6 linked regions of the Nothobranchius furzeri genome follow. The protein of the gene in region 1 purifies or fractionates together with the protein of each later gene. This does not show direct contact. Links are inferred from orthologs where the notes say so. Each region holds a gene or a part of one and is shown in the gene's direction. Other genes may lie near its edges. The genes, in order: centriolar coiled-coil protein of 110 kDa, cep290, cep76, ccnf, cep97 and neurl4.

Region 1 (4,025 bases):
TCTACGACGTGCACGACATCTTCTTTGAAATGACTTCAACAGATCGATTAGCAGTTCTGCAGCAGGACAGAGAGCTGCGTGTACAGAGGAAGCTCCGAGACCTGGTACACGAAACACACCCAGGGAGGAAACATTTATGGCTTTTTAATTTAAAATAGAGACAGAGGGGTTACACTGCACACACATCACAAAGATAAAAAAAAAAAAAAACACAGAACTAATGAAAAACATCATTTAGAAAAAAAGTTGTTCAAAAACACATTGGAAGCCATATGCTCCTAAACTAGGGGTGTCAAACTCAAACTCACAAGGGGCCGAAGTGAAACTCTGGGACGGAGTCGAGGGCCAAACTTAATATTTTTTGAAAAAGTGACAGCAAATTTGCACGTTTTCTTTATCAACATGTATGCAATTTTGAACCTTTAAATTTGGAAACAAACATATTTCTGCATTAACACTGAATGTGGAATAACCAAATTACACACGAGCAAGTCAGTTACAAATAAAACACATCAGTGGTATTCATTACTTGTGGTATATTCAGCACTTTTAAAATCTATTCAGGATTTATGTTTTCTTGTTTATTCATTTTTCTTATTTTTATTCTCCTTTTTTTCTCCTGTAATACGCGTCATCGCTGCTGTGACGTCTAGCTTTCCCCACTGAGGAACAATAAAGGGATTTTCTATTCTATTCATCTATCTGCAGCCTTTCCACTTCCTGTTTACTGTAGGTTAAATCTTTTCTCACGGGCCAACAACAAAATAAAAATATCATTTTATCTTAAATGAAAATGCAACATCTCACCTGTTAACTTTCATGTTTTGGAGCAGAAAACGAGCATAAAACCAACATATTTAAAGCTCAGTTTGCTCCACTGGTTTACTGTGATGCTCACCTGTTCCAGCCAGATACCTGCATCATGGGGTTGATCTGAACTGAGGAGGAGACTCCTGTTGTTTTATTCATCTTCATCATAATAACGACAACATTAGATGACAACAGGTGCTCACATAGGTTTGTGCTGATGAACATGTCTGAGCAGCTTGACCACGTTGTTGTGTGTCGGGGAGGAAACACAACCACAGAGTCGTGCTGGTTTTAGCGTGTCGCTGCTCGCTGGAGTTATATCAGCTCTGTCTGGAAGTTAGTTTGAAAACTTTCTCTTTCAGTCGTGAACACATTACTGAGCGGCTAGAATCTCCGTTTCTGGGCTTCAACGTCAGAAAACAGCTGAGTGAACTCGGCGCTGAGTGAGAGGAGTGTAGTTTGTCCGAGACAGCGGAGCTGCAGACACCCAACTACCTCTGACTGCCTCGGCGCTGAAAAAACACAAAGGAGGGGGCACGTCTGCTCCGCGCTGGCGCCGCAAAGCGGTAAAATCGGCCAGCGGGCCAGTTTTAATATAGTTTTGATATTTATCTCGCGGGCCACATAAAAATGCTCCGCGGGCCACATCTGGCCCGCAGGCCTTGACTCTGACATATGTGTCCTAAACCGAGGAATTAGGCAGCTTTTCAATTTTCCAGATATGTTCAGCTCATTGTCTGTGTGCACTAGCCTTTTAACTGATGCAGGAACAGCTAAGTGCATGCATGTACCAGTTGTGCTCACAGAGACAAACTCTGCTGTGTTCGCCTGTGTTTGCAAGCTAAGGTCTAAATGAACGTGAACTCCCATCTTATGAAGGGTTCCATGTGCTGAATGCTGTGCCCATGCACGGCCACCGGGAGGTGGTCTCCAGCTGATCTGTGATCCATGGGCATTTCCACTGTCTCGTCTGTGTTAATGTAGAGTTGGTGAGCATCACTCCAGCTCACACACTCATCCTCTGCACAGCTGTGGCCCTTTCAGGTGGAATCTGTAGTTAGCAGACTGAGTGTAGCAGAGAAATCAGAAGATATAACAACAAGTTGATTAAGCAGGAAGCTATCAATTAGTGTAAACTGTTGGTGAATAGTTGCGGCCCTGTGGGTGCCCCATGCTGCTACAGTAACAGAAAATACTGAGCTCATTTTCACCTGCTCCACCAATTCCAGGTGTTTTTAAACCTGGTGGCACCGCTGTTGCTTTTTGAATGCAAACTGATGTAGATCCTGGTGCTGCTCCACTTCCACCTGCAGCTCCACGCATGCTGGGTGTGAGAGCCACTGGTTTAACGTCAGTGTTTACTGGGGCATATTTTCTTGGTAACTGGAGAAATAACAGATTTTTGTGTTAAATTATTTAAAAATATCTCACCAACATAAATGAATTCTCCTCTTCAGGAGAAAACCAAGTGTCCCAAGGAGAGAGTCTCTCTCTCTGCTGCCACTCAGCGGTCTCTGGACAGGAAGAAGAGGTGAGGGAGGAGCTAAAATCACAGCTTGTGTGTCGTGTTGTGTTGGATATGATGCTGATTTGTGTTTGTTAATCCTGTAGAGCTGGTGAGTCCCCCGGTCAGGTCAGGAAGGTGCAGCAGAAGCCAAAAAGCCCCACAACCACCAGGTTCTATTTCATTAATATCTATATTTGATGTTTTATTTTTTATAGTTCCAATTTTCTCTGAAATAATTTTGTTTGTTTTTCTCCAGAGTTTTGAAGCCTAGTCAAAACCAGAACTCCTCTACTCCAGGCCAGTTGCACCGCCAGGGGTGAGTTTGTTTTTTAGTTTCACCATTTTCAAACAGCAAAAGTCTCACTTCCTCTTGGAAAACAAGTCTTAAAACGTTCTCTTCTCCATCTCTTTATGCATGTTCCTATCCATAATTGATCTTACTGGAATTATGAGTAACTTTCTCCTTTATAAGTGACTCTGTGAGAGATCTGGTGTGTTTAAACTCCTCCCAGTGACCGTGGCTAACCCTAACCCTGTTTTCAGGAGCTGGTACAGAAAGACTCCTGAAGAGAGAGTGAGGCGCTCGGACAGCCTGAAGAAGCAGCACTCTCTGGGTTAACACACCACACAGCACCGCTCCACCTCTTAACTTGAATTTACATTCTTTTATTCTGAATGTTGCACCACTGGACCTGTTTTACAGCGCTGCTAACACCATTACTTAAAGTCTTATCTCTGATGATATTAATCGCCTCCATGTTTTCATTAACACCAGTGTAGTTGTGTTTACTGCTGCCTCCTGCTGAAACGTTGGTGTGTGTGTGTTGAGTATCCAGTAACGAGGCCGTAGAAACAGCTGGACTACACCTTAGCATGCTTGTATTGTTTATCTGATGTTATCAGACATATGAAATGCTCATCGTTGTAACTGAATTTTAAGACTGAATGTCAAACTGCAGGTTTTGAAATAGTATTTAGTCGTGTATAATTTATGACGATTTTGTTAAAGGGCTTTGACTCGTTTTCTGTGCTTTGGGGAGCTAATGGTGCTGAGTACTTTATCACCATTTTAGCCAGTTTGATATATTTCTGCAGTTAAATTAGTGTAGTTTGTCATCAGTTGCATTTATTGTGTGACTTTTTTATGTCATTTCTGTTTTTCTTGTTCTGATTTTATTTCCTGAATAAATCAGAATCTGCTCATTTTATTTGTATTTTCGCAACCTTCCACAATGATTTGTGTTAAACTTCCAAGTTTATTGAAATAATATCAAATACATACATGCAGTTATCTTTTCTCACAAAATATATTAAATATATATATATATATATATCTTTAATATAATCAATCAATCAATACTTTATTAATCCCAGAGGGAAATTAGAGTTTCAGTACACACAATTCAGAGATCAGACATACATGGGCAAGACACATGACAAGAACTGGTGACTGTGGTCATTCGCAACCTGAGTCGCGCTACCTTAATAGAGATAAGAGGGTTACATGAGGATTGGTTCAGGTGGAGGGAAAAAAAGGCATTTCAGAGTTACCCTCCAGCAGCTTTGCTCTGCAAAAAAAAAAACACCTCAGCAGATATGCAACAGACTTCAGACGACACAACATAACATGAGACTCCAACAGGAAGGCGGGGGTGGGGGGGTGGGATCCTGTTTCCCCCAGCGAGAGCAGCCATCTACGGCGCTCACT
Region 2 (4,089 bases), on another chromosome or scaffold:
CCTGCTGTAAAACATACAATCTCTGAAGAGAAAAATAAGCCTGTATCCAAATAGGACCATGACTTGCCTCAGCCATGGGGGTGCCCCAAAAGTCATTGAGAAACAGGTTGCGAATGGGGGTGGTGGGCCGGAGGTCCTTGTTGTCGAGGATAGCTGAGACATCATCAAACACAAAGCCACACGAGAGACTGTTCCAGTAACATCCCACCACCAGTCCAGTCAGAAATAAAATCTCCTTCCATGACACGACAGCCATGGCTGGCCAAAGCCCTCATTGATCACTGCAGGGAAGGAGGGGTTGGCAGAAATCAAAATTAATAAGCACAGTTTGATTTAGTTTAAAACGCTTGTATTGTACTTACATTACCAAGCTGATTAAACAGAATTAAACTTTTAAAACTTTGTGTTCCGAGGTTAGAACAGGTCATGAAGCCAATTACATCAAATGTTTTCTGTCTAACTTGAGCCCTGTTATGGCAACAAACTGCAATTTCAACAGTATTTTCTTCTCTGATTGACTGGATTATTTATTCTAGCCTATAATTAAAAGTAAGGTATTTTAATGGCACAGCAAGTAAAGGTATGCATGGAGACTGACCGTTGGCTTTTAAGCTTATCCGGTCAAACCACGACCCGGAGCTGTGACATTTGTCAGTAACAACATCATTAGCAATATAACTCGCTCATTAACATCTACTTTAAAATACAGTATGACGGAAAACGAGGTGGTTCTTGTGTATTCACAGTGACGAGACACCACTAAAAGAGCAGTAAGAGAAACTCAGTTTGACAGCTGAAACTGAACAGCTAGATACTTCATCCGCTAATGCTAACTAGCTCGTTACCCGTCTTTATGTTCTGAAATGTCTAAATATGCGCATTAAGGTCTATCTTACCAAGTGATTACAGGACAGACGGCAGCAACACCAAATCTTATATCAAAATCAAGAAATAGTAGCGTAAATTCGGACAACATAGTTCATCAAACTGTTTTCCATTTGTGCAAACTAGCTTAAACGCTTCTTCGATAGTACTTCCGGGTCAGAGGTGACTGCGCAGGTCAAACTTTAGCTAAACAACAGAGCTGCTAAACCCGTTTTGATGGATGAAACTCACTTTACAGACTCTTCGGAAACGTTATAGTGCGGTATTCCTTTATTATAGGGTCCCGTTTATTGTTTCGTTGTGTTTTCGTTGACGTTTTGTAGCACTTGAAGATTTTTGTGAGTTTTACTTCCTAGCTGTAGCAGTTGTGAAGCGTAACCTAGCAGCCAAAGCCTCACAGAGACCTCAGGAGTTAGGATGAGAGTTTACTGACCTTTTTGCTTCAAAACTTCAGAAACGTTTACACGACGTGTTTAAAGCAGCCTACCAAAATCTACGTTTTATATGAGGTTACAGCGGAGCTGAGTAGAGTTATTTGGTACACCTGACGGCTGCAGTAGCCTTTTAGTCGTTGTCTCGTGAAAACATTGATAACCACAGCAGTTGTCCAAAATGCTGCCAGCCGGCCATGTGTGGAATAAAGTGTCAAGATTTGACCCCTGGAACGTGCATGAATGGAAAAAGGACGAAGTGGACGATGTTGTCCGCACATTTATTTCGGTATTTGTCCACTCTTAAATCATATGAACTCTCCAGATGTGCTCTGTCAGACTAATGCTTTATTTTAAACAATAGAAAACGAGTTAATTCGAAGCGAGTGGAGGAAACAAGCGTTAAACCTCATTATTACTAAAACGGTTGCATGAATTGTCCTACTTGAGCTACTTCTGTTTTTTTGTTGTTGTTGTTGTTGCTGTTTTTAGACTAATCTTTCAGGAACACAATTGTTATTATTAAATATAACCCAAGTACTTTCAGAATACAGATTTCAACTGAATATTTTATTTATTAATAATGAATTCACTGTGAATACATCTGTAAATATTTTTCACATCATTGTATTTAGAGCCAGTGCAATGAGAGAAGAGATGGGGGGAAAACAAGCTCCCATAACAAAACTCATATTTTCACTTTTTATCAAGTCCTTTTTTTGTTAAATATCTATATTTTTAAATACATTTGGGAGTAATTTGAGGTTTAATGCATACATTTTTGTAAAGATCTTTCATTTTAAAAATGAATAGCTGTCATATGTTTAAGAAAAGCCTGTTTAGCAGAATAACTTCATAAAATAGCACAGAATGAAATAAATTCAAGTAAGGGACGAGTAATTGGTTATGATTAACTGGACAGCATTTTGTTTTGTTTGTAAAATACAGAAAATATTATTGCAATTCTTTTCAACAAAATGTACTTTGGGGCAAAAAGTATTTGGCAGCCACTGATTTTACTAGGTGTCCCACTTGTGTGGTGTGGGTGACTTATTTTATCAATCTATTTGTAGTGGTCTCTAGTAGGAATAAATGCCTTGTAAGTCAATATACTAGTAGCCTGGCAAGCTATACTTAATAAATATCTTAGTTTGGCAATGCTCCATTGACTGTTCTTGGTTGTGGGGCAGTTTCTACCATGTCTTTCAAAGGATCTCCGTATGCAACTGGACAACGAACAAAGTGACGTACTCACCGCAACGGATGCCGGTAAATGAGGCGGTCCGCTGGCAAAAATAAATCCTTTTTTCTAATTAAAGGACTTAAATACATCTATCTGCTCCTGATTCTAATGAAGCCCAAGTCCAAATAGTCCAAAATTGATGTAGAAGTTGTTTCAAATGAGCGGTCGCCATTTTGTTCCACTCTGTCGCATCATCCTGCCCACCAGACCGATTGGCCCACAAAGCTGATAGAACGCTAATGCAGGAGATTAGTGTAGGAGACGTTTTTCATGTTCAGCCTGCATGAAAAACTCACAGTGACCGATTCATTAAAAAAATGTTTTTTTTCAGTCAACCACACCTTTAAAAAGATGAAAGAGTACTTTTCATGAAATGTACACCTCAACTGTGAGAGAAAGATAATGTAAAAAAAATCCTGGAAATCACATTGTATGATTTATTTTGTTTATTTGTATAATGGTGCAAAAAATAAGTATTTAGCACCTACAAACAAGCAAGAATCCCTAACAAACCCATTACTTCACCTGTCTTCTATGCTCTTCTGTCCCCCAATTGCTGCATGTGTTAATGGCAGCTGTTTGAACTTGTTAACTGTATAAAAGACCTCTGTTCACACCTTCAAACAGTTAGACACCAACCTCCACCATGGCCAAGACCAGAGTTGTCTAAGGACTCCAGGGACAAGATTGTACACCTGCACAAGAATCTACAATAGGCAAGCAGTTTGGTGAGAAGAGATCCACTTGGAGCAATTATTAGAAAATGGAATACATGCAGGGTCACTGGACATCTCCATTGACTTGGGGCTCCATGCAAGATCTTAATTAGTGGGGTACAAATGATCTTGAGAACAGCTCAAAACTATATGAGGGGAAATGGTCACTGACCTGAAAAGAGCTGGAACACCCTGCAGCGCCCGTAAGGTCTCCCTTCTTATGCCAGCATGTCCAGGCCTGTCAAATAGAATACAATAGACTTTATTGATCCCACAGAGGGAAAATTCACTTGTTGCTGCAGCACCAACACTGAAGAGAATAATTTGAAGATAAATAAGATTTGCTGGAGGCCATCTGGATGATCAAGAGGAGGACTGGGAGAATGTCATGTGACCAGATGAGTGCAAAATAGAATTATTTGGTATAAACACCAATTGCCATGTTTAGAGGGGCCATAATGCTGAGATGCATCCCAATAGTATCACACCCTGTGTGAAGCATGGGGGTGGAAACATCATGTTTTGTGATGCTCTTCAGTTAAGGGGACGGGCGACTGATCTGTATTAATGAAAGGGATAAAAGGACCATCAACAGTGAGATTCTGGGCAAAAAAATTCCTCCATCAGTAAAGGCACTGAAGCTGAAACGTGGCTGGAAATTCCAGCTACTGTGTCCAAACCTGATGAGGACCTACAGGAAACGTGACCTCTGTCATAAGTATAGAGGTGACATTTTGTTATAGACCAAATACTTATTTTCTGCACCATTGCACAAATAATTTCTTTAAAATCCTCCAATCCTGTCTCTCACAGT
Region 3 (4,292 bases), on another chromosome or scaffold:
GTCTGCTCACATATACTAATGTGCCACAAACAGGACGTTGATATCATCAACCATTCCCATTTTATTGAGGTATATCCATAGAAATGGCCCACCCTGTACAGCAGTTTGAGGTTTAACGTTTGAGTTAGTCAATTGTGTTCTCAGCAGCCCCTGAAATAAATTATTAGCTTTATTGCCAAGTAAATTGAGAACTTCATATATGCGGAATTTATTTGTGGCATTTAGTGCAAACAGGCCTTCGATGAGGAAAGTCAAAAGGAAAATTAGGACGCACTGCAAATGCAAATATAAAATGCCCATGGCAGTAAAGACGTGAGGGAGTGTTCTACTGATGAAACCATAACAGAGGAAACGTTTGAGTTCTGTTGGACCTCAGACTCCTGCAAAGAAGGAAGCATCAGAAAAACTGTTCAGGATCAGAATAATCCACAAATAATCTTTGCCACCTGCATCCTGGACTTCTACGATCCAGATTGTATCAATGAAACAGATCATAATCTGTTCTTCTCATCAGTAACAGGAGGTCATAAACCACGCCCATCTACTTCCGGACCATGGGACCCCGGAAGAACAATATAAATGAACAAAACTATTTGAGATGTGAGTTGTAAGAATTTGGGTACAAAGTAAAAATAAGTATGGCGAGATGGGGCATCCTTGGCAGATACCATGTTTTAGGTAAAACCAAGCCCCCACAATGCGGGTGAAAAATTAAAGCAAACGCGGAAATGAAATAAATTGCAGTTCCACCCTCATCCGCTGGGGGCTGGTGTCAGAAGCGAGCAAATCCTCATTGACTCCCATGTTAAAAATATCAATTTCACAGCAGAAATAAACATGTTTATGGCCTGGTACCAAAACATTTTTTGGTTTAAATTATCTAGTTTACACTCATGACAACTCTGAGGGGGGTGAATTTTTTTCTCACTCTTCTGTTTAAGTGTATTAAAAGCCTAAAATTCTGTATAATTAATGAGCATCCGACCCATGTGACCGCCGCCTCAGACCCACGTGACCACAGATGGATTTCTTTGTAAAAGTTGTCCATCTTTCCAACAGAAAGATTTGCCTGGACCAACGTAATGTAATAACAACGTAACGTGATTACGTAATTATGTAAGGTTCATGTTCAGCCAATCAACTACTTTGACGTCATCGGCAGTCGACGGACCCCGAGCCGATCTTGCACCCGAACAGATCTTGTACCGACACCGGGTTCCAGTAACTCATTTATTATCTTAAGACGAGGCCGTTATTGTGGAGATGGAAGTACACATATTTTACAGTATTTGTTTGAGGAATCATCACAGATTACTCAACAGTAAGATAAATATATATAAAACGTAGTGTTATTCAGTTGGTTTTAGTATTTTATAACTTAATGTTTTATGTATTTTAAAATAAGAATTACACAAGCACAAAACAAATCAAAAGTACAGAAATTAACGCGACTAAATTGCTGACTAAATTAATTAAATTTAATTTGAACTACAACTGTGGGTCCTTTTATGGAGAGTCGCTTGCATTGATGACATTAGGATAACTAATATTAAGCCTGACTAAATTTAACAATGTTTTTAGCATAACCACTTTAAATGGGGTATTTCAATGATTAGTTTAATATTTGTAGGATTTAGTGAAATTGAAGTAATCGTGTTACCTAATAACTGATACTGTTTAGTCATTTTACATTTATTTTGTTCAGGCATCAGCGGAGGCAAATACCTGCGCGCTAGCTTTTTCGCCAAAGTTCAAACGTTCAAACTGGTCTGTGAAGAACAGCAGTACAGAAAACTCAATAAATGCACACGTCCATAGGGATTATAGCTCAGACCAGGAATAACGCTTTTATTATTGTTAGGTGAACGTTTTATTCTGGGTTCATCATTAGCCGAAGCTGCAATGTCTCTTCCTTCAGAGAAAGCTTCCGAGCTGAAGCAGAGAATCCACAACCATTTACTGAAGGTGAGCCAACTCTTTACTTATGTAGCTAGCCACAGCTTGTGTTGTTAATGTGCTGAAGCGCTCTTTGTGTGTGCGCGCGTGTGTGTATGTATGTATGTATGTGTGTATGTGTGTGTGTGTGTGTGTGTGTGTGTATATGTATATGTATATGCGTGTTTGTGTATGAATGTATGTGTGTGTGTGTATGTATATGTATGAATGTATGTATGTGTGTGTGTGTGTATTTATGAGCCAGATAGAACAAACCCAACCTAAAGTATTCTGTTAGTAAAGTTTATTCTGAAGCGGTGCTTCACTAACGTGTTTCTTGTTTCGGCTAAAGTAAAAGCCTCATAATGAGTGTTTATCTGTGGTCAGATGGACATCCATGGGAAGATCCGAGAGCTTATTGCTGAGACTCTCGGAGAGGATCAGGGCTCAGGGCATCGCTCTCTGTCTGAGGCAGATGTCCTTCGTGTTCTCCAACGCAGAGGCATCATAGACGATGTGATGAAAGATCTCCACTTTACCCAGGCTCCCCTGCACCATACAGATGTTGTTCAGGTTAATAGCTTTGGATATTCCAGGATTAAAATGCCAGATAACATTTGAACCTGATCAAAAGCAGAGTCCTTTATTTAATTTCCTAACGAAATCTGCTTGTTTTGTTAGGGAACAGCTCCAGATGCAGGACTAAAACCTCCTCCGAAGCCCACCACTCATTTTGGAGTGTTTAACCCAGACGTCCCTCTGCATATGAAAAGTAAGAAACTTTGCTTACATCTATAAAATATCAAACTGCACAGTTGCACTGGTTGATGTTTTATTTGCACTCCTCATTTTTCTCAGCCAACGTTGATCCATCTAGACGGTATCTTCATCTCCAAGTTCTTGGAGGGAAAGCATTTCTTGAGCACCTCCAGGAGCCAGAGCCTTTACCTGGTCAGGTGTGCTCTACTTTTAAACTCTACCTACACTTTCACAACCAGAGGTTTCACTCTAAACCAGTACCCTGTGCCTGTGAACCTGACCTGAGGGAGGGTTTCCTGCTGGAGATGCACAAAGATGGCCTCGGTAAAGGATGCAGCTGAATGAGTACATCAGCCCTTCTGTAGTCAGCTTTTACGTCAGAAGGTTTCTGTGGGATTACAGGAGATGGCAGTAAGATGGTGGATGCCACAGACATGCTGTCCATATGTGACCCGGTCCACTTTGTGCTGATCAAGACAGACACCTCTGGTGAGACAACACTTGTCTCCTCCTACTTCCTGGACTGGAGGATAGTTCTCAGCTCGCCAAGTGGCAAGACGTGCTTTGCAGTGGAGCTGATGGGAGTTGGTGAGCAACACACACAGCTGCTGCGCTAGACTCTGATGTTTTTAAAACGGTGAGAATGGATAAAAGTTTAATAAGTTCATCTTAAATCCCCTTTTAAATGCTCCAAATGAAATCTGTGTTATGAACACAAAGCTTTGCATTGGATCGGTTAGCACATATGGGACAGCAGGAGTTTAGGAGCTGGAGCGGCTCGCCCAGTAATCAGAAGGTTGCAGGTTTGATCTCCACTCCGAACAGAGAATGTTGCTGTTGTGTCCTTGGGCGTTAACCGGCCTTGGTCGGAGGGACCGGTGGCGCCAGGGCAGCTGTGGCTACATCATAGCTCATCATCACCAGTGTGTGAATGACTGATTGTGTTGTGAAGCGTCTTGGGGGGGCTGTAGAACCCTAAGAAGGCGCTATACAAATACAGACCATGTACGAAACCCCTCAACAAACAAGCCATGTTACTTCAGGGCGGGGTCTTAAAACGTATTAAAGGATGATAAATGAAATCAAGACCCTTATGAAGTCAAATCAGTTTAGTAAAATCTTTATTTGTTTAGTGTTGATGTGTCCTTTAAGCTCGTTTATCAGCGGTCCTCTCAGGGTTACGTACAGCCTCGCTACAGAGGTGCCAACGTGATGTATCCTCCTCACTTCTAGTCTAAATGGAGACTTCAGTAGATGCCAGCATGAAGAAGGGCACGTTTGCAGAAGTCCAAGAGCTCCACAGTTGGACAGCTGGTGGAGACGTGTAAAGGCCTCAGTGCTTGTTGTCTTTCTGCTCGTGCTTTGATTACAGACTGCTGCAGTCTTTGCTGATAGGTTTGTGTGCCACCAGGAAGTGAATGCAAAGTCCCAGCTGGTGTTTTAACTGTCAGCCTGGAGCTCTACCCTCCTCTCTCCAAGCACCTGAACAGTGATGTCATCAGCACACAGGTCAGTGCAGCAGATTCTCTTTACCCAACTGTTCAAGAAAGGATAAACAAAAGCAAACATGGAGACCTTAATGAGCGACTGCTGGTTAC
Region 4 (4,075 bases), about 720 kb from region 1:
GTTGTAATTTCTTTATTATTTGAGACTCCTTTAAGTGGCGTGTCCCTTGCTATTCACTTTGTGCTTTTACTGGGAAAATAGTTGAGCTGGGTTGGAGTTTCTATGGAAACGGTGCATCTAGTTGAGGATGTCAAAGCCCTTGCCCTGACTGAGGTCACTCTGTCAGCTACAAGATAATGTGATTGCTCTGGACCTTCGTTGTTCAGCAGAGCAAGACTTTGCAATCCCCAGTGAGAAAATAAAAAGGCATTTAATTTATTTGCTTTATTCACTGTCATGTGAGTAAGTTCAATTTGATAAACAAAGGTGGCTGATTGTTTATTGTGTGCTTTGGGACGTTACTGGGAAAAACATTTTAAAGTTGTAAAAAAAAATTATTTTTTAAAATTAATGTGAAGCTCCTGATCTTTTTCGTGATGATGAGACTAAATGAACATGTTACAGATCAATAGAGAGCCTGAAAGGAACAAACGAATACTCCCAGATGTAGTCTGCTTCTTTATGACCCCTTTCAAAAGACCAACAATCAAGAGGATGCTATTTGGCTGAGAGAGCTCTCTATTTATTGTCAATAGGGATGCAACAAAAAGGTCTTAATTATGTGATTTCCTCAGAGGAAGCTTCCTCAAACCCAAACCAACCTGTTACTTTATTGCTTCCCATCTATCTTATGTTGGTCTTAGTGTGTGACCCATGAACAAGGCATTATCATAATTTCTGGATTCTGCTGTGCATTGGTGACATCTCTCTGATAATATTCTCACCGAGATACTTTATTACAGTTATTATAAAAAATAAATCATTCTGAGTGACACAGAGTAAACCTTTGATCTTTTAGAGAGAAAAAAAATCATTTGCTTTAGAATGTTTAAAAGAAACAAAGTAAATGTGTCACCGGGTCAAGTAACTGCACTTTTCTCCAACCCTGACTCCCCCTTGGACGGATCATTGGGGGCATGTCCCTTTAAATTATGTACCTTTAAACGCCACTTTTCCATTTAACTACATTTCCCACACGCCTTTTCAACAAGGCGGACACACGCAATCGAGTCAACCAATCGTAAGAGCACACAGACGAGCGCGTACTTCGAAATGGCATTACATCCTCCAATGAGCTTCGGTTATTTCATAGTTCAAGGTGTCAGACCAATCTGTGTTGCCTCTATTCCTATTGTCCAATCATAAGCTTGTAGTGTCACGCGCTGACGATGTTGCTCTCTACCAATCAACTTCTTTGTAGAGTTTAAACCGTGCGCGCGGGCGGTCCTACATAGTTTAAGGCGGAGCCTTGTCCGGACTCGTGCATGAATTTGAATTCAGACAACTTGATGTTGAGTTATTAGTCAGCCGCACAAACTCAACATTAACTTTAACACTGTTTAGCCTCTAATTCACTCCAAACGGTGCTCGGTGTAGCCTGCCTGCCTTAACTTGCATTAACACTGCGTTAAAACGGCTCCTCCGTGTTGCTGCTACAGGCTTCTGCGCAAAAGGAAAGCTACTTGCAATGAAAGCGGGCGGTAAGTAACTTTCTTCCGCTTTACCCACTCAGAATAGACGAATGGGAATAATTTGGTATGAAATGAGTGTTTAGGAGTGTGTGTTTGGTCTCAAACCGATTGCTAGGTACTTGTCAGCTCAGGCGTTAGCTAGTGCAGTGATGGATCCCAACAGGAACTTGGTGTACCATTTAGCTCAAAAGCTTCAATATACATCTAACACACCCACGGCTCATTTAGGAATTGTAGCACTAATATTCGTGGTTGGTGTCAGATGATATGTAGTTAGGTGTGGATGAACGAGATCTGGTCGTAACGGTACTTTATTGAACCCACAGGAGGGAAATTTGGGCGCTCAGTTGGTTTGACATCATCTGTTAAGATTTCACCACTGTTCGATTTCCCCAAACAGCTCAAATATGGTTGTTTGTGTTCATTTAGGCTTTTTCTTCGTCTACATTTGATCAACATGTGGTTTAACGTGTTGAGGAACATGTGGAGTTATTTTAGTAGGCATGATTAAACTGTGGAGTAAGTAGGAAAACTACGATGGAAAACTACTACGAGATTATCATTTATCTCTAAACTATGCAAATAAATACTTCTTAAAATATTATTTTAAAATGTCGAATTATGCTCATACCTATCATGCAAAAAAGAAACAATAATTTATGGTGTTGGTTGAGTTAAAGCTCAATTCAGATTCTAAATGATATTAGTTTCAACTGTATTTTGTACAAACTTGGGTTTTTATACTTAAATTTTACAAATGTAGTTTTACATTAATTTTCTTTGTGGCAGACTCACAACCCAGGAAATTAATAGTAACTGAAAGTGTCAAATCATATAAATCAAAGAAAGCCTAACATCCTGACTCGTGTGTTAGAATTAATTAAATGCAAATGTTCATTTTGCGTTACAGTGAGAATTACATCTCCAGCTTTGCACCGAGACCTTTACTGATTTTCCTGTGTACACACCTAAAAAGTATTTGACTCTAAAAGTGTGTTAATTTTGTGATTTGAGTATTTTTTCCTCTATTTTCCAGTCGTCCACTGCCGGTGTTCAAAATGCTACTCTGTTCCGACACGGAAGCGAGTCCGTCAACGATCCCCAGACTTAACTTTGCTCTCCCTGCCTGAGGAAGTCGTTCTATGTGTGCTTCAGTGTCTCTCTGCTGAGGATCTGCTGTCAGTAAGAGCGGTGAGTGAACGTAAATCCCATCACAAAACGTCTGACAGCCTCTTCTGTCGTGTTTCTTGTTCAGGGATTAGTTATCCAGGTTTCTGTTGTAGGTTCACTCCCAGCTGCGGGACACTGTTGACAACCACTCGAGTGTGTGGGCCAGGGTCAGTTTCAGAGACAAGTGGCCGTCCCCCGACACCTTGTGGCTGTTTGAAAGGTACGGTTCCTTCTGACAAATACAACAAAATACTTGCTTTTGTTTACTGAAATTAATATAAAATTCTCACTTCAGAGCTGCTGAAAAGGGGAATTTTGAAGCTGCTGTGAAACTTGGAATTGCTTATTTGTACAATGAAGGACGTAAGTTAAAACAGTTATTTTTTTCTTCTTATTCTTTTCAGAATGTAGTAAATTTCTGCTCAAAGCACCACAGCAGTGTCATTTTAATGTCAGAGACACAAACCCTCTTGATAAATGGTTACGACCCTTCACTCTGGCCTTCTTTCCTGCCTTCAGCGTTGCTGAGCGATGAGGGGCGAGCAGATGTGTGTGGTCGAAAAGCCTCCCACTTCTTCAGTTTGGCTGAGAGTCTCCGCTCCCCCAAAACCGATCCCTTCACTTGGGTGTTCATCCGTCCACCATGGTCGCCCACTGGCAGCTGCTGCAAGGCCGTGGTGTTTGATCGCCTCAAGGCTGAGTGCGATGGCAACATGGTAGGTTCTGCTGCCGCCAGATCAGTGATGAGAAGCCACAGAATAAAGCTGTGTTTGTCCGTTGCATTGAGCTCGAGCCGCGTATGGATCTAGGAAGGTTTAAAGCTCCAAACAGAACATGAGCTTCTGCTTTCCCCCTGCATAACCCATGAGAGGAGCACTGGGAACTGAAACGCTTGTTTTTTTTCTTTCCCTGCAGGAGAAGAAGGGACCCTTGTTGCACTGTTTGGCCAGAGTTTTGCTTCTTTTTGAAGTGAGTGAGACTGAATTTGACTTTCTGGGTGTGGCTTGCTCGGTTTCTATTACCGTTGAGTAAAAATGTAAATCCGTGTGTTGTCACGTGACGTGTCCCCAGCCATGTTCCTCTTTACGATTGGCCTACTCTTAATCAGTCCCCCAAAGCTTTTACGAGTTTTGCTGATTGATGCTTTAGACTTGTGAGGTTTCATAATTTGCTGAAATCATATCTATCAGACTGTTATTTCACTGCTTTCTTACAAATGTAAGAGCAAAACATTCTGTGGTTATAACCATCTGTCTTTCCCAGGACGAGGGGCGACGCTCCAACGCTGTATCTCTGCTGGAGGAGTCGTCTCAGGCCGGCTGTCTGCTGAGTTCTTATCTGCTGTGGGAGAACAGCCGCAAAGCAGCTGTGAGCGTCGTTCTTTCTTTCTGCCT
Region 5 (4,029 bases), on another chromosome or scaffold:
TTTTCAGATCAAGGCATGCAGAAACTAGATTCCAGTTTCACATGTTCTGAGGATACTCACACCCTCATCTTGGACCGTAACAACATTATGAAGCTGGATCACCTGGAACGATGCCCCAGCATTCAGCAGGTAACTGCATTGACCTACAGTAAATGGGTGAACTCATGATTTCTAATTCAACGTCTTATCTTTAAAATCTTCATCATTTTCTAATCAGCTATCGGTAGCCAATAATCGCCTGGTGAGAATGATGAGTGTTTCTCGGCTGACTGAGCTGAGAGTACTCAATCTTCCCAACAACAGTATTGGTTACATCGAAGGGCTGCGAGATCTGCGTCATCTGAAATGGCTCAACCTGTCTGGCAACAACATTAAAGTAAGATTAGATTAATGCCTGTTTTTACATTCTTGTATTTGCCAACATCGTTTCCTCATGGATGATGATAGAGGTTTAACAGATTCCTTGGTCTGTGACAGGTCATTGAACAGCTTAACACCTGTGTGTCGCTCCAGCACCTGGATCTGTCTGACAATAACATCTCAACGACTGGTGATCTGACTAAACTGATGGCATTAAAGGTCAGTGGTTATATGTGCATAAAAATAGCATACGAAACATTTTCTTCAGTGTATCTTTTGATTTTGTTTTTCAATCCCACTGCAGACACTTTTACTCCATGGAAACAGCATAACAACCCTTCGTACTGTTCCTGTGCACCTTCCTGCTCATTTATCCATCTTGTCCCTGGCAGAAAACGAGATAAGAGATCTTAATGAGGTAATCAGCTTTTTCTGCTTTCATTTTTTTTTTATCTTGATGATACGACCTAAAAACACAATAGTTTTTCATTAACCATGATGACTACTCTTTAGGTGTCGTATCTTGCTCCTCTTCATGAACTGGAGCAGCTGTCCATCATGTGTAACCCTTGTGTCATGGCGACGCCCATGTTGCCGAGTTGCGATTATCGACCGTACATCATGAGTTGGTGTCTGAACCTGAAGGTCCTCGACGGCTATGTGGTGACACAAAAAGAAAGGTGTCTTCTTGTAATCTTCTAATTGACCACAATCTGGAGGTTTTTGTATCTTACTTTTTTTTTTAAATTATTTTTATAATTACAGTCTCAAAGCAGAGTGGCTCTACAGCCAGGGTAAAGGTCGCTCATATCGACCAGGGCAGCATGTCCAGCTGGTTCAGTACTTGGCCACTGTTTGCCCTCTGACCTCATCACCAGCCCTGGAGACAGCAGAAGATGCAAAACTGGAGAAGATCCTCAGTAAACAGAGGTATCCATGTTAATCAAATGGAAATACTAACCATTAAAGCAAGAGTATTCTGATGTCTTATCCACCTTTAAAATTAGCTTGAGTTTGTTTTGGAATTTTGTTTGTGTCAGGTTTCATCAGCGCCAGCTGTTGGAGGAGATACGAGGTGGCTGTCCCAGTCCGCCTCGTCCAACTCAGCTTGACGTGGAAAAGCTCAGTCCCTCACGTGCGAGTCCGCAGTGTGGAGCTCAGGAGGTGAAGCCAGTCGCCTCACATTTACCAGCTGCTGCTCCTTCTGTCCAAGAGAACGGTAAAAGGTTTTTTTCCCTCCATGTTGAAGTTGTTCTGATGTGTTTTTATTGGTGTTTTGATGCTCAGCTGCTGATACTATCTGCTTTTGTGCAGAACCAGTGGTGCAGTTTAACACATGGGTGAGCTCTGAGTGTTCCCATCGATCTTTGCCAGTGGTTCGCAGCACAAAACCTGCCAGCGAGTGCATTTATTTGGAGGATGTGCAGACTGATGAGGACAAACTCAACAGCAGCTTGCTGTCCTCAGAGTCCACCTTTCTCCCCTTCATGTCTGATTTTGAGTCGCAAACGGCCCGCTCTGACAGCGAAGACGAGACCGAGACGTTCGAGCCCGACTCTCTGGCACCAAAGCGCCCATCGCAACCCAAAAAGCTCAACACAAGCAAGGCAAATAACCTGTCTCCGATGACTAAAGATGAGAGGAAGGCTCCTGGAGAGGAGGTTGTTGCTGTTGCAACTACAGCAGCTGCATCAGCAGTCAAAGTTAGTTCATCGCAAAATGATCTAAAAATATCTCCTGACTTTGGTAAAGCCAAAGTGAAAGTACCTAAGATGGAACAAGCAGATACGTGTGTCAACAAGTCAAGTCTGATAGAAGCAGAGAATGCAGCAATTAAAATCCAGTCCTGGTGGAGGGGACACTACACTCGGGGTTGTCATCCTGCAGCCAGAGAGGTGCGCGGCGAAATCCGTCTGCGGCGGATGCAAGAACACATCGTCTTCCTGTCGAACAAACTGGACACGTGAGTGACTTAACATGAATTAACTGTCACAAATCTCTTTATTAACCATTTTATTTAAAGTTATACCTTAATATATGTCTGGAAGTTGAGAGATTTTGTTAAATTTAACCTGATTTTTTTGCAGCGTGCAAAAGCAGTATGAGGAGGAAAGGTTGCAACGGCTGGTTCAGGAGGAGGCTGTGAAGTTTCTGTGGAAAGAGGTTAGAAATTGCATTTATGATCACTTTAAGTAACGGTTTAGTCAGTGCTATAATCATTTTTAGTAGATATTTAGGTAAATTAAAAAAACTGAAGGCTTAAAGTAAAATAAGGAGCAGTTTTGACATTTTAAGCAGCTTAAGTGCAGATAATTTGCTTCTGATTTATTTAAAAATGCAAAAAATGTAAATATTATAAAATGTAGATTTCTTTTTTGCAATCAGGTCAATTTTTCTTAACCTGCTACTCTGAGATGTAGTTTATCACTTATATTTTTATCCTTTACTTTTATTTTTGTTTAGCTTCAGTCCATGCAGCAGTGGAAGCAGTCCGTAGAGGAGAAGCTGGCAGCTGTGAAGTCTGTCAGCGCAGTTCAGATCTCATCTCCTGCACCTTGTAACACCCCCCCACCTGTTGTCACCACAAACCCACCGAGCACAGACGTCTCCTTCCCCGACTCCGGCTTCCAATCAACCAGTGATCGCCAGGCAGCACAGGACGACAGCTTCCTGAGCAGCGGGACGGCCGACACTATAAAAACCGTGCGAACGCTGAGCCCCATTCGAGGTGGCCTCACTGGTGATGCAGTGGACAGTGCAGAATGCAGCCTTTTGGAGGAGTACCTGTCCTCTGTGCAGCAGAGAGAGGAGGAGGCTGAAGAAGTAAACAGCGATATAATCGGAACACCATCAGAGTCACCAAGCAGGACCAACCACTCCCCCACAAATAAGGAAGCAGAAATCAATCCAGACTCTGTGAACGTCCTCTCATATTGAACATTTCTCCAAAGCGCTACTGAATGTGTGTAACATAGGACTGGAGATACAGATCAGCCTAAAGCTGCACTCATATTGATTTGTTAAGCCAGATAAAAGTGCTCATAATACTGAAAGCTTGAAACATTACCTAACAGTGAATGTAATACAAAATGTTTTATAATATCCTTTCTGCTATTTATATATATATTTTTTACTTTCTTTATTGAATTGATTGAATGTGGTGTGTGAATATTATTGAATCTGTTAATTTATGTGCTTAAACTATCAGCAATCCACTCACTGATTAATAACCTCTAAAATGTCACGTGTCTGTTACAAACACGCTACTATCAGTTATATGTTCTGAACAATGTTATTGGGTAATAGAAAAAATGTTGCCTTATCTAAAATTTTAAATAAACCTGTAGTCATATTAGCATCGGACTGCAAAAGTTGCATTTAATGAGATATTTCAAAATACTCACTTATAATTTAGACTCTTGGGAATTAGAAAATGACTGGATATAAATCATATAAGTGTTTCGCCACGAGGGGGCACGGTAGCTAAATTTACCCTCCAGCCACATCTCGGTTCATGTTATATTCAGGGAGGGGGCCTCGTCCGGCGGAGAGGGTGCTCCCTGCGGAACCACGAAGGTGGAGCTGCTCCAGAGGGTGGAGATGCACCTAGAGTCAGCTCCACCCGTTTCTGCTCCAACTAAATAAAAAGTCATAAAATCATAATGATCT
Region 6 (2,763 bases), on another chromosome or scaffold:
TTGTGGAGATAGGCTTCTGTTTGGAGAAATGCAGAGCTAAAGGGCCAACGGCTAGTCCTGAAACCTGCAGCTCTGGGGCCACATCTGGAAGATCTGATGAGCAGCAGCATGGGTTTGGGGGACCAGAACCTATTTTCCCAAAAAATATATGTAAAAGAAAATACTTTTGATATTCTGATGAAATAAAAAGTAAAAGCTACTCAACGTTTAGTTGTCTAAATGTAGAAAAGGCGTAAGCAGCGAGGCCTTCAGATTTAGCTCCAACAGGAAAGATTCCTGTCAACAGTGCCGCGACGAAGGATTTTACCGTTTCAACCGTTTTCCGGGCCTCACTCGGCCTAGTTGTTAGCTCATCAATCCTATCGGATTTAAACCCTATGTCTCTAAACAGAGGCTACAACAGGTGAGATGTGATTATTCAGAGTTTTTTAAGAAAACAGTTTGCTAACACGTCCTTTCCTGCTGACAGGTAACCATAGTAACCAGCACAGTGGCAGCTGTGGGGGCAGAGGGCGGTGAGACTCGTTGTCAGGCGGACATGGAGAAGGCGGACATGGTTGACGGTAAATAAAAACCAACTCCTCTGCGTTTATAGTGATTTAGATCTCAGATGACGTGAATTGGATGTGCAGGGATCAAAGAGAGCGTGTGTTGGACGCCTCCTCCAGAAGCTAACCCCAACAAGACCTGCGAGTACCAGGCTCTGTGCTCCCGCTTCAAGGACCTGCTTACCTTACCAGGTCGGTTCAAAACCTGCGTTTTTATCCTCCTTCCCGCCTAACAGGTGAAACTAATGATTCTACTACCGGCTATTTGTTAAGATGGGTACTTCAATGAGGACGCTAAATGCAACCTGTGCTACTGCGAGTCCTGCCACAAGCTCCGGGGAGACGAGGCGTATTACAAGAGGGGAGAGCCGCCGCGGGACTACGCTCTGCCGTTTGGATGGTGCCGCTTCGCTCTCAGGTGAGACAACCGTCTCCTGTTTTGTTAAAACCTACTCGAGACCTTTGAACAGGTTAGAGAGTCGAAACTAAAAGGAAAAGAACTGAAGCATCTGTGATGTCTTTTCAGGATAAAGTCCCACTGTGAGGTCTCTAACGCCATGAAGAAGTGGCATATAGCATACCACGGCACCAGCGTAGGAGCCCTGCGACGCACCCTGGACCACGGCCAGCTGCTTCCTGGTACAACTCGCCATCATTCATTTTATTTTTCTTAAAAACAAACTTTTAAAATATTTTGTCAACGCTCTGGCGTGGCTGAAAGCGGAGGCTTAAATCTGCTGTAATTTGCTGCAGGGTGTTCGTCCATCTTCTCGGTGTCTCCGGTGAAGGCGGAGGGGCCAAACAGCTACAGTGAGCCGGAGGAGAACAGCGCCCCCGGTAGGGAGGTTCCCAGAGTGCGGCTCTCCCCCACTATGCGTTATTCCGGCTTAGAGATCTTTGCTCCTAAAGTGCAGTAAGTGCATAAAAACAGCCTGCTGCTGTGGGTTTAGACAGAGGCTCGCACTGACGGTTACTCTCATCGTCACACAGATTTCGGGACCCCCGTTCCCACCGCTGTCACCAAGCTCAGGTGGGATTCCAGGTGTGCGTGCGTCCAGGCTCCTATAAGGTAGGACCTCAGACTCTAGGACACAGCGAGCCCCTGGATCCTCGCTTCAGCAACACGGAGATCGAGTGGATCACTAAAGAGCAGGGCGGCACGCTCCTCTACGGACTGCTCATCAGAATAGAGTGAACACGACAACAAAGGAGGTACTGCTTGAACTTCTAATGAACCTGACAAATCCAGCTCTGACTGGATCAAGAGGCTCCTGTGGAATCCAGCTGGTCCTACCGGGGATTGTTGACGACTCAACACTTTGGTTCTGGTTCTTCGCTCTAAGACTTTCTCCCGGCGGCCGAAACCTGTGGCTGTCTTGACGAACAGACACTGCCTGCACTTTATGTTTAGAACACTTGTGGGCGATTTTTAAACTCCTCGTCAACACAACAGGTTTGTTAGTTCTCCCCATCAGTGTATTTTTTTACTTTTGATTTTCGCACTTACGTTTACTAGGACAAGCCTCCACACTGGTGAGTGTTATTTTGGGAAAAGCTGCCTCACGTCTGTCTGCACGTCAAACAGCACAAAAATATTCATTTATAATATATAAATAAAACACAGGGACATCGTTTTAACTATAATGTAAAAATTACACTTGAATTAGATATTAAACCCGTAAATATGAAGTGACTGGGACCTTTTTAGGGGCAACATTTGAAAACTGGAAGGAGTAGAGAAACATGTTTACAACCCCACCATTGTTGCTGCCCTCTTCATGCCCATGTGTCTTTTATTAGTGCTGTTGGCTTTCTCTCTGACCCTGAATTTTCACATTAATTTAAAAATATTAAAATAATTATTCACACAAACTTTAATACTTGATCTTTTAAAATTTCCACTTCAACTTTTGGGAATGGAAAATAGTGCCAGGCGCTACATTTGCTCAGCGTTTAAAACTAAATATTTCATAATGTAGAATTTAAAAAATCTCAACTTCCTATTTTATGTTGATTTATTTAAAATGATTGGATTTCTTGCAAAGGATGATATTTTACTATTAAAAAAGAAAAAAAATGTCACCCTGTTTATCCCAGAAAGATGTTTTACAAATTCAAAGACACGGAAAAGCTCATTTTAGATGAAATTTAATTTTTGTTTCACATGTTGAATTGTTCCCTAAAAAACGGACCTAAACTGGCAGTTTGTTTATTT

What was found.
Region 2: the proteins of centriolar coiled-coil protein of 110 kDa (region 1) and cep290 purify together in Homo sapiens (co-immunoprecipitation; 6 studies listed by BioGRID and IntAct, with this or other methods). This does not show direct contact. The link is inferred for Nothobranchius furzeri from reciprocal best matches to the Homo sapiens genes CCP110 and CEP290.
Region 3: the proteins of centriolar coiled-coil protein of 110 kDa (region 1) and cep76 purify together in Homo sapiens (co-immunoprecipitation; 4 studies listed by BioGRID and IntAct, with this or other methods). This does not show direct contact. The link is inferred for Nothobranchius furzeri from reciprocal best matches to the Homo sapiens genes CCP110 and CEP76.
Region 4: the proteins of centriolar coiled-coil protein of 110 kDa (region 1) and ccnf purify together in Homo sapiens (affinity purification with western blotting; 7 studies listed by BioGRID and IntAct, with this or other methods). This does not show direct contact. The link is inferred for Nothobranchius furzeri from reciprocal best matches to the Homo sapiens genes CCP110 and CCNF.
Region 5: the proteins of centriolar coiled-coil protein of 110 kDa (region 1) and cep97 purify together in Homo sapiens (co-immunoprecipitation; 10 studies listed by BioGRID and IntAct, with this or other methods). This does not show direct contact. The link is inferred for Nothobranchius furzeri from reciprocal best matches to the Homo sapiens genes CCP110 and CEP97.
Region 6: the proteins of centriolar coiled-coil protein of 110 kDa (region 1) and neurl4 purify together in Homo sapiens (affinity purification with western blotting; 4 studies listed by BioGRID and IntAct, with this or other methods). This does not show direct contact. The link is inferred for Nothobranchius furzeri from reciprocal best matches to the Homo sapiens genes CCP110 and NEURL4.

The regions. Positions count from the first base shown.
Region 1 is NC_091752.1:57,254,215-57,258,239, forward strand, and holds the end of centriolar coiled-coil protein of 110 kDa, read left to right. Parts: coding exon 1-104; intron 105-2,267; coding exon 2,268-2,341; intron 2,342-2,421; coding exon 2,422-2,487; intron 2,488-2,573; coding exon 2,574-2,633; intron 2,634-2,860; coding exon 2,861-2,936; 3' UTR 2,937-3,525; downstream 3,526-4,025.
Region 2 is NC_091744.1:50,508,598-50,512,686, forward strand, and holds the start of cep290 (centrosomal protein of 290 kDa), read left to right. Parts: upstream 1-1,289; 5' UTR 1,290-1,497; coding exon 1,498-1,605; intron 1,606-4,089. Other genes in the region: protein O-mannosyl-transferase TMTC3, read right to left, coding at 68-256. UniProt on the Homo sapiens protein: Involved in early and late steps in cilia formation. Its association with CCP110 is required for inhibition of primary cilia formation by CCP110.
Region 3 is NC_091745.1:49,054,253-49,058,544, forward strand, and holds the start of cep76 (centrosomal protein of 76 kDa), read left to right. Parts: upstream 1-1,492; 5' UTR 1,493-1,902; coding exon 1,903-1,965; intron 1,966-2,322; coding exon 2,323-2,508; intron 2,509-2,616; coding exon 2,617-2,707; intron 2,708-2,793; coding exon 2,794-3,018; intron 3,019-3,096; coding exon 3,097-3,282; intron 3,283-4,105; coding exon 4,106-4,203; intron 4,204-4,292. UniProt on the Homo sapiens protein: Centrosomal protein involved in regulation of centriole duplication. Required to limit centriole duplication to once per cell cycle by preventing centriole reduplication.
Region 4 is NC_091752.1:57,970,053-57,974,127, forward strand, and holds the start of ccnf (cyclin-F), read left to right. Parts: upstream 1-1,275; 5' UTR 1,276-1,507; coding exon 1,508-1,520; intron 1,521-2,547; coding exon 2,548-2,702; intron 2,703-2,794; coding exon 2,795-2,901; intron 2,902-2,976; coding exon 2,977-3,044; intron 3,045-3,200; coding exon 3,201-3,397; intron 3,398-3,596; coding exon 3,597-3,650; intron 3,651-3,944; coding exon 3,945-4,049; intron 4,050-4,075. UniProt on the Homo sapiens protein: Substrate recognition component of a SCF (SKP1-CUL1-F-box protein) E3 ubiquitin-protein ligase complex which mediates the ubiquitination and subsequent proteasomal degradation of target proteins.
Region 5 is NC_091754.1:25,621,390-25,625,418, forward strand, and holds the end of cep97 (centrosomal protein of 97 kDa), read left to right. Parts: coding exon 1-129; intron 130-217; coding exon 218-376; intron 377-477; coding exon 478-579; intron 580-664; coding exon 665-778; intron 779-873; coding exon 874-1,040; intron 1,041-1,125; coding exon 1,126-1,290; intron 1,291-1,400; coding exon 1,401-1,579; intron 1,580-1,674; coding exon 1,675-2,323; intron 2,324-2,447; coding exon 2,448-2,523; intron 2,524-2,823; coding exon 2,824-3,297; 3' UTR 3,298-3,529; downstream 3,530-4,029. UniProt on the Homo sapiens protein: Acts as a key negative regulator of ciliogenesis in collaboration with CCP110 by capping the mother centriole thereby preventing cilia formation. Required for recruitment of CCP110 to the centrosome.
Region 6 is NC_091742.1:53,449,486-53,452,248, forward strand, and holds the end of neurl4 (neuralized-like protein 4), read left to right. Parts: intron 1-469; coding exon 470-563; intron 564-632; coding exon 633-740; intron 741-821; coding exon 822-966; intron 967-1,074; coding exon 1,075-1,187; intron 1,188-1,301; coding exon 1,302-1,461; intron 1,462-1,538; coding exon 1,539-1,743; 3' UTR 1,744-2,263; downstream 2,264-2,763. UniProt on the Homo sapiens protein: Promotes CCP110 ubiquitination and proteasome-dependent degradation. By counteracting accumulation of CP110, maintains normal centriolar homeostasis and preventing formation of ectopic microtubular organizing centers.